Mytilus edulis: one gene and its partner. The protein of the gene in region 2 purifies or fractionates together with the protein of the main gene of each other region. This does not show direct contact. Links are inferred from orthologs where the notes say so. Each region holds a gene or a part of one and is shown on either strand. Other genes may lie near its edges.

Region 1 (7,421 bases), on a different chromosome or scaffold from region 2:
AAACAGTAAATTTTATCAAATGAATATGAAAGAGATATACATAAAGAAACTGAAGTATTAACTAATTACAGAAAACTAAACCCGAATACATAACGCCCAGATATAAAAGATCGAAAGTGAAAAAGGTACAAAGTTGTACAGCACTGAAGATCAAAAGTTGAAAAGGTTTTGCCAAATACGGCATTGTTTTTATGCCCGGGATAAGAACATCCTTATTATATAGAACAATTTATGCTATTGCAAACAGTAAATTTTAACAAATGAATATGAAAGAGATATACATAATGAAACTAAAGTATTAACTAATTACAGAAAACTAAACCCGAATACATAATGCTATTAAAGTTTAACACAGAATAGACACATCCGAATCAGTCCAGGCGTCAACGTAATTACAAAAATGTGACGTCACATAAGATGGCGAAAAGGTACAAACGTTATGCCACATTTGAATTTATGAAATTTAGAAACAGCATGACGTCACATATGAAAAACTATCAAAGTGAGATAGAATTAGGATTGATTTAAGATTATATCAGAACTAAATACTGATAATTAATTTAAACAAAATGCATATTGCAATACTTATTAATAGCAATTAACTGTAATATATATATGTCCAGTTTGTTATGAATCCAACTTCAAACGTAAATAATCGTACAAAATTTAATATAATTAATAAAGGCGGTGATTAATTTTTCTATCCGTAACACCTAAATATAATAAAAAGACGTCAACACATTTGACAAAATCCGATGAGAATTACAAATATAACATTAAACATGTAAACTAAATACATGAATTTGGGATAAACAAGTACAGAAACACGTCTTATAGTAATGCGAATTCACATTCAGCAAAACAGTCACAATCGGGAATAAGTCACAGTTGGTAATTAAAAGATTAGACGACATAATGACAAACCACAATCTACCATGTGGTAAAAATGTCCTTAGCTAGTTTGGTTAAAGAGACATCATATGGATCCACCAATTCGTGATGGTGTCCATAAAATTTACGGAGTGTCAATTTTAATCTGTCCTCCTCATAACTTTGTTGGAGCAGTTTCTGCATAAGGAGCACACTCCTGTATATGAAGTCCGTATAGTGTGAACAAGCACGTGAATAACGTATCAATTGTGATATGTAAACACCATACGAAGGGGCAGAGGGTATGTTACTGCTGAGAAATGGGAAATTGATAATTGGGAAGTTGAAATCGTCCCGTTTATCATAGATTTTCGTGTGAAGTCGTCCATCTACGTCAATATTGAGGAAAAGATCAAGGTATGAAGCAGTCCTTCGAGTATCAGTAGTATCCTTAATTTCAAGTTCACTGGGATATATGAGATGTAAGTATTTGCTGAAGTATGGGTTGTTCAATGATAAAACATCATCAATACATCGGAAAGTAAAATTAAAGAATTTCGCAATGAATTTTAAGCAAATCTAGATATTAAAGATCAAATGGACATTAAATAAACTTTTAAGATTATATAGATGATAATTGTGAACTTAATTAATTAATTAACAACCAGTTAAAAATAATTACTATACTTGTACCAAGGATTTGTATAATAATACTATACAAATCCTTGCTTGTACAAATAAACAAAAGATTATTGTAATTAACTTATATCATTGTATATATTAATCAAACAATTGCTAATAATTTTATCATATTTCTATATTTTATTTAAGTCAATTTAGATAAAATAAAATAAACAAATGATAAAAGCAGACAATTCCAATGCTGATGATACAGAAGCTGTAAGGCAGCAACCATTTGATTTTCTGGGGTGGGGCTATGGTTTTTTTTTGGAAAAAAAAGTTTGTTTCCAGGTTTTGGTGAAAAAAATAATTTGTTTTGGACCCTGAGTAAAAAAAATTGTTTGTTTCACCCTCAGCTGCCACTATATGTAATGCTAAAATTGAAAGAAAAAAATTGTCTTCGGTTTGTCGCTAAAAAAATAGATTGTTCTTCGCCGAAGGCGAAAAAAAAAGTTTGCACAGAAAAAAAACCCATAGCCCCCCCCAGAAAATCAAATGGTTGCTGCCTAACAGCCATGCCAATATAAAATTCCCTAAAACATACTATTAGTCTAAGAAAGAAAACATAGCAGAAAGTAAAGAGTTTGTTAAAATGCTGAGACAGTATGTACAGTTCCCTTAAGCATGTTAAGAAAAAAAACATCAGAAGATTTAACACTTTCTTTGATGACAATCGCAGTGTATCATCATTGGCATCATCTGAAGTAAAACATACAATCATTCATGTCATATCATATGTTACTTTCATCATGCATATACATGTATACATGTATGTGACACCTTTAATACAAGATGAATAACCTAATATATGTATTGTTTATTTAAAAAAAAAACACAATACTTGTACAATACTGGAATACAATACTGGTACAAAATTTTTATACCAGTATTGCGATCACCAACTACAGGAGATCCTGGGTAGATATACACATAAATGCTGATCCCAATTTTATCTGTGGATCTTTCCAACCTGTAGTCAGAGATTACTCTGACGTCCAACGGCTGTTTTGCCAGACAAGCTGGGGCCGTGGGACGTCAGAGCTCATCCCATATCAAAAAGTGGATACTTGCCCATCCAAAATAGATGCGCTGCTTCGTCGCTTCTGGTGCCGACTGGCGGCCTTGGAATTATATGAATGGGCATCAATCTGTTCATTTTTCATTTATCTCTTCATTTATGTAAGTTTAACCTACCTGCCAACCTTTATTTTCTCATAATCAGACTGTTTTCACAGTGACCCATCGATTTCGGCATTTCGCCTTTCATTTTCAAAGACTATCCAACCTGTTGACACGGCAAACAGATAAAAGACTTCTATGTTTTTGCTATAATTTCTGAATACGGATCTTTAAAATTACCTTTATTAGTCTTGCACTTCTGATGCTTGGTGTTTTAAACATTTTATCTGTAATACATAGGTTTATCCTCTAATTATGTTTATGTAAGACCGGGAGAAGATTTCAGCATGCAAATACTTTTCTACTGAATTCAATTAAAAATTTCAACCTTGAGCAATAGGACTGAAGAAATTAGTAAACCAGTTCGATATAACAAACAAAACTTTTCCGGTCCACTTTCCGGAATATGCATGTACTTTCCTGATAATTGAACAAAAAGAAACATTTGATTCAGTTTTATTGTGTAATATGTCAGCAGATGAACAACCACTAACGTTTGTTTAATTTGTAACATAGTTCTGAATTCTAAATAGAGTAGTTCAGACATGTAGTGTGTGTAACTTTAACTAGCAGTCAAGGTCAGTGGGACTTATAAAATCTGTATAGTGTGAAGTCGAGCGGGACTTATGTGACTGAGGGTTTCTTATCGTCGAGTTGCAAGTTGCGAGTTACGAAAGTCGAGTTGCGAGTTAAGAAAGTCGAGTTGCGAGTTAAGAAAGTCGAGTTGCGAGTTATGAAAGTCGAGTTGCGAGTTAAGAAATTCGAGTTCGAGTTAGGAAAGTCGAGTTGAGAGTTAGGAAAGTCGAGTTGCGAGTTACGAAAGTCGAGTTGCGAGTTACGAAAGTCGAGTTGCGAGTTACGAAAGTCGAGTTGCGAGTTACAAAAGTCGAGTTGCGAGTTACGAAAGTCGAGTTGCGAGTTACACAAGTCGAGTTGCGAGTTAAGAAAGTCGAGTTGCGAGTTAAGAAAGTCGAGCTGCGAGTTAAGAAAGTCGAGTTGCGAGTTACAAAAATATTGTTTACACCGAATTTTCAGGTTTGATTCACATTTGATAAACAAAACATGCATGTACCCGAACTTAGTTATTCCCGTGATTGTGGGATTTGAAACAGTTATATGAGATACTTATTTATAAGATTAAGTTCTCGGGAAGCATTTAAAAAAAAATAATGTATCTTTAATGGACGAGATCGATCTTATGTAATTCAATGCGTTTACACTACAACATAAAAAGAACCGATCTGACCATAAATTACCTTTTGTAAACAAATAATCCTAAAAATAGAATAGTAAAGGAAATCCTGCATCTCGCGCGAACTATAACACATTGCGAAATCATCGAGAAAATAGTTTGCTCATTGGAATTTCGTATGGAATTATTAATCATTATTTTGGATCGTACATCACAAGTCATTAAACAAAGATATGTGTGTAGACTATCGCTAAATAAAGAACGGCCAATGCGTTTGAAGATGAGGATTTGCAGCAAACATATAGAACTTATTGATTTAGAAGATAATAAAAAAAATAGCCGAATCTATGTTTACTTTTCGTATTCAATCCATCATCTTATTCACACGGTGAAACAGAGCTTACCGGAAACGCAAATAATTATTTCATCAATTCTACCAAGGCCTACAGATTACAAGTCAAACCAAATTATTTCTGAAGTCAACCAGCAGTTACTAACAGTTGAAGACATCAAGTGAAAATACTGGATAACACGTTAGACTTTTTGTACGGCAATCGTCCTAATCAATTACTTTTTCAGGACCATGTACATACCAACGTAGACGGTGCTAAAGTTCTAAGCCATAACATTATTTCTTTTGTTAACACAATTCTTAGATTGTACAATTCAAATTCACAATTTGAACAAAATTTTTATTCGGAGAGGATAACAGGGAGGAGATATGCGCCATTAGAGACAACCAATCAAGATTATTAACATCCACATTCATTTCGTCCAGACGTCTGGAATTAGAAGAAACTTTTAAAATCTGCTCAAGTCAAGCAAACGATTGTATTTTATATCATTCTATAGTCATTCTCATTGTATATATGTGTATTGCTATTTTTCTTCTTGAGCAAAAATCAGAATCCTCCAAATATACCCAGATCAATCCTTTTATATTCCCACACAAATACCTTAACATTTGTCACTTAAATATAAACCATGTTTTACCAAAATTTGCAGAAATACAATACTTAATTTCGGAATCAAAGTCAAACACGCATATTTTATGTTTGAGTGAAACTTTTTTGTCAAACAGTGTCAAAAATAAAGAGATCATTATTCTAGGGTACAATTTACATAGAAAAGACAGAATTGATAAATCTGGGGGTGGGCTTTTACTTTATACTTCAAATCAAATAAATACGCTTAGAAGGGACGATTTGGAAATGCAAGAAATTGAGTCAATGTGGATAGAAATTATTAATATTCATCAAAAGCCTATTTTACTAGGTTATGTATATAGACCACCTAACAGTTATGCTAACTGGGTTACTATGTTTGAAACCATGATGTTAAAAGTTGACACTGAAGAAAAGGAAACTATTGTTATGGGATATTTTAATATTGATATAATGTCAAGTAAAAACCATGCTAAGTGGTCACACATCAAAAATATTTTCAACATGAGTCAAATGGTTACAGAACCTACCAGAGTAACTAAAACTTCATCTACTTTAATTGACCATATGTATTGTTATCTGCCAGAAAATATTAATTATATTGCAGTTCCAAAATATTCAATCAGTGATCACTATCCAGTATGTATTTCTCATAAAAGAGGGTTTAAAACGAAAAAGCAAATTCATGATTATATAACTTATAGATCTACAAAATATTTCAACGAGACTGATTTTATTCACCATTTATCTCAGTGTTCCTTTGACAGTATACTAGAAATTGATGACCCTGATGAAGAGCTACAAAGTTTTATAAATATTGTTACTGAAGTGTTAAATCATCATGCTCCTCTCATTAAAAAGCGAGTTAAGCATGTTTATCAAAATCAGTGGATAAATGATGAAATTATGGAGGGCATGAAAAAACGTGATTATTATCATAAGAAAAAAGACACATATAACTATAAATTTTGGAGAAACAAGGTTAAATACCTCATAGAAAATTCAAAACAAAATTTTTATACTGAAGTATTAGAACAAGAAAAAGGAAATAGAAGCAAATTATGGAAACACTTGCATAATGTAAATGGTAGTGAAAATCATCATGACCATGCAATCTTAAATGACTGTAGTAATAAACCAATTACAGACCCTAAAAGCATTGCTGATACTTTCAATAATTATTTTTCAAATATTACTGAAAATGTTAATCTTAATTCAAACCACAGCACCAGTTGTTCTGGAAAACTTGATAATTATATTTCATGTCGTGTACCAGATAATGTCTTTTTTACCATACCACAAATAACTAGTGAATTTGTTCTCCATCAATTAATCACACTTGATGAGAAAAAAGCAACAGGTCTTGATAATATCAGTGCAAAGTTTTTAAAAATGTCATCACACCTAATTTCAGTTCAATTATGCCACATTTTTAATTTAAGCATCAGAAAATCAGTATATCCATCGTTATTCAAACTGGCTAAAGTTTTACCAGTATTTAAAAAATAAAGGTTAAAAAAATGATGTTTTTAACTACAGACCTATTGCAATTTTACTATTACTATCTAAGATCCTTGAGCGACACGTAAAAACTCATTTGATGAATTTTCTAAACAAATATAATCTATTGTATGTCATGCAATCAGGCTTTCGTGCAAACCATTCCTGTCAAACTGCTATGACTTCTTTGTTAGATAAATGGTTAAAAGCCATTGATGAAGGAAATTTAGTAGGGGCAGTATTTTTAGATCTGTGTAAAGCTTTTGATCTTCTAAATCACAAACTGCTCCTTCAAAAATTACAAAAATATAAATGTTCTTATAATTCTATTCATTGGTTTACTTCGTATTTAGCTGATAGACATCAAGTCGTATCAATTTCAAATACTTTTTCAGATGTATCTACATTAAAAGCAGGTGTACCTCAAGGGTCCGTTTTAGGTCCTATATTATTCTTGATATTTATTAGTGATTTGCATTTGTGTAATCCTAATCATTATCTTGATCTTTTTGCTGATAATAGCACTATTTCTGTAATTGGAAAAGACAAAAGGTATATAAGTCAGACACTCAATGTTGTATTAGAAAATATTTGTCAATGGGTTGATGAAAACAAAATGTTAGTTAATGTGTCAAAAACTAAGACAATGTGTATAGGTTCAAAACAAAAACTGTCTGTGATGTGTAATGACACATTAAATGTATCCATTAATGGCCAAAAGATTAATGAAAGTCACTGTGAAAAAGTACTAGGTATTTTTGTTGACAAAACTCTTTCTTGGTATGATCAAATTAATCATATAATCAAAAAAGTTAATTCTTCATTAGCTTTATTAAAAAGAATCAAGAAATTCTTGAATCACAATGCACGAATTCTATTTTACAATGCGTATATTCTTTCACATTTGGATTACTGTTGTTCAGTATGGGGAAACTGTAACAAGTTTTTAGTTGACAGTTTACTAAAATTGCAAAAAAGGGCAGCTAGAATTATTTTAAACGAACACGATATTCGTAAACCATCCAGTGAACTATTTAAGGAATCTGGAATTATTC
Region 2 (7,324 bases):
CTGTTTGATGTGAGCCAAGGCTTTATGTTGAAGACTGTACTTTGACCTTTTACAAATTGTGACTTAGATGGAGAGTTGTCTCATTGGCACTCATACCATACATGCCATATCTTCTTATACAGATTTACTTTATATTTATTCAGATTGGTAGGGTTTTATTTTCTGTTCTTTCAAGGCTACATTTAACAATTAACAATGTATTGACAATTTGAAAAAAATGTAAATATTAAATAAATGTGTTTGTGCTTAATTTAGATTTTTGAGTCAACCGCAATCATTGAACATGTTGAATGAGGAACATGCAAATAAAATTATCAGTAGAAAAGGGATTTTTGTTTCAGATTACATTTTTTTACCCATTGAGTTTATCAAATTGTCTATCTTGGAGATATTATTACTTCAATACAGCCAAATGGAATATGGCAGAAGGAATAAGGGTAAGGGTATGCCAGGTAGTTTCATATTCCGGAAACAGTTTTCAGATGTGTGCTTGACTTTTAACATTAACTTTCTCTCTTTCTGTTTTACAATACTATAACTTTGCATTTTTCTAATTTTAATAGACAATATATTTCAAGACGTTCATTTGTGTAGTGATTTTCCGGTAGGAAATAGGATAGCTCTGGTGAAATCAAACACATACTTTTGATGTTAACAAGAGACGCTGCATCTCTAATCAAATTTACTCACCACTACAGCCTTTAAGACTTCATTTGTGATGGATGGAAGAATTCTTTCATCGTAATCAAGACCAACATTTGTGTATATATTTGGGAGGGCATCAGCCTTTGGTCTGAATAAAATTCTCAATGTGACATTAACGTTCTGTAAATCTGAAAACATAAAATGATTATTCTTTGATTTCTCAAAAACCATCATATAGAAAAGTGCAAAGATTTTGTATACTAACAAAATTGGGAAAATAAGCAAATAATATGCATGATATAAACACGATAAATATACGGGAAATGTGTCAACTCAAGAAAGTTCTGTAAAAGCGACTCTACCCAAATTTTTACTTGATCTGAGTTTTGAGGTACATGTAATTTAGGCATTGTGTATGAGTTTCTTAACATTTGTTTTTCAGAACAAAAAAACAAAGCCAATTTTGAGACAAACTGATGTATGGACCACGAACAGACAGACAAGGATATAACTTAATACCCCCTCCCCTGCAGCAGAGGCTGAAACATTCCTTTAAAAGAAAACAATTCAATATTCTTTGTTTTTTACCCTTCTGATAACAAGTTGAAATCATGCTATCATTGAAGACTAAATGAAAATAATGTTGCCCTAATAAATGTATATTTTATTTCTTATGGATTGCTATCTCAATGATTTATTATATACCCCATGCCATAACCCCTTTAAATATAAGCAAAACATAATCATGATAATGTACTAGGATGTTTTAAAATTATTTTATCTACCAGGCATCTGATTTAAACACAATCAAGTTAATCAGCTACATCCTGTAGTCATAGGCGGATCCAGGGGTGGGGCCCCCCCTTTTGTGGGAAAAATTTGGTTATATAGGGAATCATTGAAGCATGACTGGAGAGGGCCCCCCCCTTAGGTCAGTCAGCGGGCCCCCCTTAGGAAAAGTTCTGGATCCGCCACTGGTAGTTAGTAGTTATCACAAACGAATAGTTTTTTCGATAGTTTCCGTTGTATATTATTATCAATGGAAAATTTTCCTACCTTTGCTTCCTGTAACAACAGGAACACTTCTTGGTCTTGATCGAATGTCAAATATGATTGGTTTCTGTACCCATGGTATCAAAAAATGTGTCCCTTCTCCAGAAACTATGTCTTGTACTCCTCTGAATCTGTCAAATATAACTGCTCTATGACCACCATCAACTGAAAAAATAGAAAAGAATACATTTTCTATCATTGTGATATATATACGTGTTCTTTAACCAATAAAAAATTTGATTTTAATATTGAAAACCTTAAAAAAAATCATGCATGTCATGATGTTAACAATGCAGGACAACTCAGCCTAGAGACAACTGGGTACTAAATAAAACCTGATCAAACAACATTGTCTAAAAGTTGTGATACACAGTCTGATTTGTCTAATCATTGTTTAAAGTCTTTGAGTTATCATGTGATTATGACAGCCCAACTTCTGAGAAAAAGTTTGGTTCATGTAAGAAACTCATTTATGTAGTCAAATCTTTCCTATTTATACTAAATATAACTTTGTCCAAGTCGATTGTATAGATGGTCAGAGTTTACGTATTGACGGTCCAAGATGACTTTTATAGCGGACTATGACTTTTAAATCATACTACATCTTCTTTTTTATAATTAAAAGATGTTCTGAGTTGTCTTTTCTTTGAAATCAGCACATTTTATCTCAGTGACTAGTTGTCTTGCACCTGATGTAAGTTATAGGTCTGGTGATGAAATCAAAGCCAGAACAATGTCAATGACCTACTTTACTGCAACCTTGTTTTGAGTTCACATGCATTTCAATTGTTGTTAATTTTTACCTCTGAGAGCCAGTATTGTTTCTACTATACTAAAATAAAATTGAAATATGAAGGTCAATAAGGACCACTGGCACTGAATCGATTATTGAACCCACATGACTTCTAGACCTGTGGCTGTGCAGCTGATTACATAATTGTGTAACATTTTAGAAATTAAATTACGAATCTCAAATCTACGGTCAGTCAAATTTAACATATACACAATATCTTAGTACGTCAAACTCATCTTCGACAAGACGAAATAAGGTTTTCAAAAAGATGAAGTTTACCGTTGTATAATGCTGTCTGAGCGACTCCACCGACTAGAGCAACACCAAGGCCTAGATATCCAATTTTACTTAGAAAAGACATTGTTTATGGCGTTTGTGGTGGTTAAGAAAGAATATATTGCTCAAAAATGTTGTTGTCACACACTCTGAATAAAAAAGGATGATAAAATCCAAGAAAGGTCAACTTTTTTTGGTCAAGGCAGCATGCTATGAAAACCGGATATTTTATAAAACTTTTACCGGACGACGGATACGAACCTGTTTTAAATACGGATGAAGGGTGTTTTTTTTAGAAGTAATTTGGTAATTTGCCACAATTTATTTAAAAAAAAAGAAATTAATGTAGTATGATTAACCATGACAAAAAAACCTATCTAGAGGATATAGACAAATACTTTTAGAATATTCAAAAAAATGTGATCCTATTCATAATTAAAAGATTCAAGAATAGAACATATCTCAGGTAAGTATAAATCCATACAAACATCACATTCAAGCTTATTACATATATGAACTAGATGTATTTTGACTTCTTCTTAAAACTTTGGATATATAAACTGCACGACAAATCACGGTCAAATAGTGGTTCACACTACCAGCAGTTAGTAATGACTTCTGTTTTTGTCACGTATTACATGTCTCTGATATAAATTAGGCAGTGGATATTTTGCCAGCTCCGGCAAAATAGCGATCTATATAGAGTTTTACTATTTTGCTGGTCTTATCTCCGATTTTAATATGACTATATATGAAATCCAAATTTATTGAAACTATTTATGCATAAATGATATGTGTTGCTAGATGTGATCAATTACTCTGTTTTCGCCTTGCATCCTGGGTCCTAGGTCTGGTGTATTCACTTATAGTGACCTGGCTCATTAAATCATATGTACACACGATATTTATGTTTATCTTGTAAAGCATTTTGATGTTGTTGAATTTTTATATAAAAACTAATATGATATGCTTATCAATAAAAGAATTAGAGTTATCATTTTTCATATGGGTTTGCATGTTTAGTAAGTAGTAAACAATGCATATCTTCTATTTCAATACAGATTGTTTACAGACTTCCTTTTAAAGAAAAGAAAACTAGTATCAGTTTTAGTATGTATGCTTTTAAAATGTTTTAAAAAAGACATGTTTTAGAGACTTCTAATTAAAATAAAGAATATAAACTTTTATATGGACGCTTTGTATATATAAATGTGCTATAGAAGACTTATTTGTATAAGGTTTCTTTTCCAAGTGTATATTTCTATATTTTTTCTATTCTTAATCTGTATACTTCTAAGTCTTGATCTTAAAACCGGCAAAATAGCAAAACTATTTATAAATAAAGTTATTTTGCCGGAGTCGGCAAAATAGCGCCAAGGATGCACCTATTAATTACCATTGATGTGGCCATATTTCTTATCAATCAAATGTTAACAATTTCTACACTCTGAATTGTTCACTGACTGAATTATAAACGACTTTCTACTCCCAGGAATAGCTATAGATTGCATAAATAGTGGTTTGTCAAACGTTTTGGAATCGGGAGTATTCGAAGCTCGTTAACGAATTACCAATCTCCCGACCTATTTTCCTCGATTTGGACATAACTGAGCGAGACTTAAAATGATCATCATGACATGAGTGTCATATATGGAGCAGTGCGTGTTAGGAGCATCCGATATTACCACATGCCGATTTTGTAACCTAAAATATTGTACATGTCCCCCATGAAATATTGTCTATCGGACAAAAGTTCATATAGAATATTGTCCACTGACAGTATTTCATAATGAAATAGTGACTTTCTCCATGAAATTTTGTCACCTCCTTCTGGACAATATTTCACTATGAAATTCTGTTCATGATAATGCCTCACTATAAAATACTGGCTTTGAAAATATTTTTTAATCGAATTATTACACTATTAGAAATAGCACACAAGCATGCAGCATGCAGCATGCACATTTTCAAATTTATGACTGAAATGGTTTTGTATAGAAAGGAATTTAAAGTATTACTAATAGAGGGTGGTAATGGGGGTACCTTCATGACGAATAACGGTAAAAAATTCTTGCCAAATGACGTTAACGGTAATTTTTGGTGCATGACGATAAATTATGCACTTTCTTAATTTTAGACCCAAAAAAATGGAATGATTTTCACGTTATTTTTTTCCACAAATAACGGTAACGATAATTATTTGAGACCTCTGACGAATCACGATAAGGATATTTTGACGAATCACGGAAATTTCACGCTAACGGTAGCCGAAAATGGCCGTTTGACGCCTGACGGTATAGGGCATTATTACGATCTATTACCCTTTCAATAGTGAGTTTCAAATTTTCATAGATATATTACAAATGGTTAATTATAAAGGCAACAGCTAGTATACCGCTGTTCGAAATTCATAAATCGATAGAGAAAAAATAAATCCGGGTTACAAACTAAAACTGAGGGAAACGTATCAAACGGCAAACGTCAAACGGTCATTTTCGGCTGCTGTTAGCTTCAAATAGATTAAAATTTTAACGAGGTTCGTCAAAATAACTTTTTCGAAACATATATTGAATAAACTATTCGCCATGTAATGAAACATGCCTGATTCATTTAAATTATAATTTTTAAAAGTCTAAGCGTTATTTTGAAAAGTAAAAAAAAGAGAAAAGTTAACAGATTAGGTGTACAGACCTGCCAACTATCCCGATTTTCGCGGTATCATCCCGATTTTCATCCCTCAACCCGAATCCCGATATCGGGATTCTAAAACAAGTCAAAATCCCGATTTTCACAAAATATACCCGAAAAAATTATTTGGTGTCCGATTTTGAAGTTTTTCTGATAATCTATAATTTTACCTGGGGACATATTATGACAAGTTTACAATACTACGCTAATCAACGGTCACAACAGGTGTCATAATTTGTTGTTGCAAGTAATTGGATTACCTGATTGGTCATAACAATCCTCAATATTAATTAATATTATTATTTGTAAACAGAAAGTCGGTCAGTTGGCCTTTCATTTTTAATCAATTTATCATACGAGCACAATTTGCAACGTTTACCGTAGTTCCACAACGAAATCGTAATTAACTTAAAGATGAGAACTGTATTGAACTCTTAAAAAAACATTGTTTATCTTGAAATCCATTTAATTTTTGAAATCAGACATGTGTCTGTTGATTTAAAATCGACGCCATTTTGTATTCTTCTACTGTGAATAAACCTCCGCCGGTAAGAGCACCTCCGAACACAAAGAAAGATAACTCAACTTTTATCCATTTTCTCATTAATACTGATAGACTTAATCAAAATCTGTATTTATCCTTCTAACTTTAGGACATATAGGTTTATGTCTTTTGAGTCATGGTCCAAAAGATAAGGTTTTTGGAGGGGAAAAAGGGGTTTTCACTAAGTATCCTTTATTTTTTTAATGCCATTTTTCTCTATTCTTAAGTTATTTTGTCAATTTTAAAATAAGTACAAGAATCATGCCAATTAAAGAAATCAAGGCTTATAAGATCATCATCAGTATACCAAAAGAAAAAAGAAGAGACATGAGACTATTTTAAGAGTAAAAAACAGTGCACACAGAAACGCCGCAAAAATTGTCCCTTAAAAATATGGTCGCGCACTAAATCCCCCATGGAGATTTTTAAAAGTTGGCAGGTCTGGGTGTAACAAAGGATTTGTCAGTGACAGTAAACAAAATCTTGGTGTAACAGGTGCCCTTTTATAATACGTTAACATTACAGATCAGTTTCCGACATTTGTTTTTGCATTTACTTAGTTCATAGACGGAAACAGACCGGTCTTTTGGGCGCATGCGTGGCTGTATGATGCAAAACGTGGTTGAGAACTGAAATCGAAAATAACAAAGTTTAGGCGACTAGACCAAAATTTGAGTGGTAAGTTAACGATAACATCTTCATTGTGTATTTTGGTCAACTGCTATTAACCCTTTTTGAATGTAATTTACTGTCAAACTGCAATTTGAAAGTGAATAAAATGTTGGGGACGCTATCAGGCCATCTTGCGCCACAAAAGAAACTAGACTTTCTTATATGACGTTAAATATCCCATGTGTAAATGAATGTACTTGTTATTGTTTAAATGTGTTAACGAAGGAGTACACAAAACATTTAAAAAGTTTGTTTTTAATTGAGAAAATTATACACGTGTATATTTAGGTTTTGTAGGGGAAATAACTCTTGATTCGAAAACCATGTACCTTTTCTTTTGTAGTTCCCTCCTTTCTATGACCATTAGGATGACACTGATAATTTATATTGAAAGTATCTGTACACTTTGATAAACTTAAAATCCTTCTATATCTTTTTTTATGAACACTGCCATTATATTGTCAATCTGGCATCATGTTCTGATTTGAAATGTTAGTTTTTAGTGATGGTTTGTGGTACAGTATCCTCAAGGTGCCTCTTTTTATCTTTATTATTTCTGTTGCTGCTTCATTTTATATTTTGTCAAGATTAAGGTTCATCATAAGGAATTGAAAAATATGGCCGTGTTTACACCTCCAAAATTACTATGAGTA

The links.
Region 1: the proteins of prohibitin 1-like (region 2) and stomatin-like protein stl-1 purify together in Homo sapiens (affinity purification with western blotting; 3 studies listed by BioGRID, with this or other methods). This does not show direct contact. The link is inferred for Mytilus edulis from reciprocal best matches to the Homo sapiens genes PHB1 and STOML2.

What each region holds. Positions count from the first base shown.
Region 1 is NC_092347.1:39,484,502-39,491,922, reverse strand, and holds the start of stomatin-like protein stl-1, read right to left. Parts: upstream 3,064-7,421; 5' UTR 2,953-3,063; coding exon 2,911-2,952; intron 1-2,910. UniProt on the Homo sapiens protein: Mitochondrial protein that probably regulates the biogenesis and the activity of mitochondria.
Region 2 is NC_092357.1:67,337,344-67,344,667, reverse strand, and holds the start of prohibitin 1-like, read right to left. Parts: upstream 3,012-7,324; 5' UTR 2,853-3,011; coding exon 2,771-2,852; intron 1,864-2,770; coding exon 1,702-1,863; intron 834-1,701; coding exon 691-833; intron 1-690.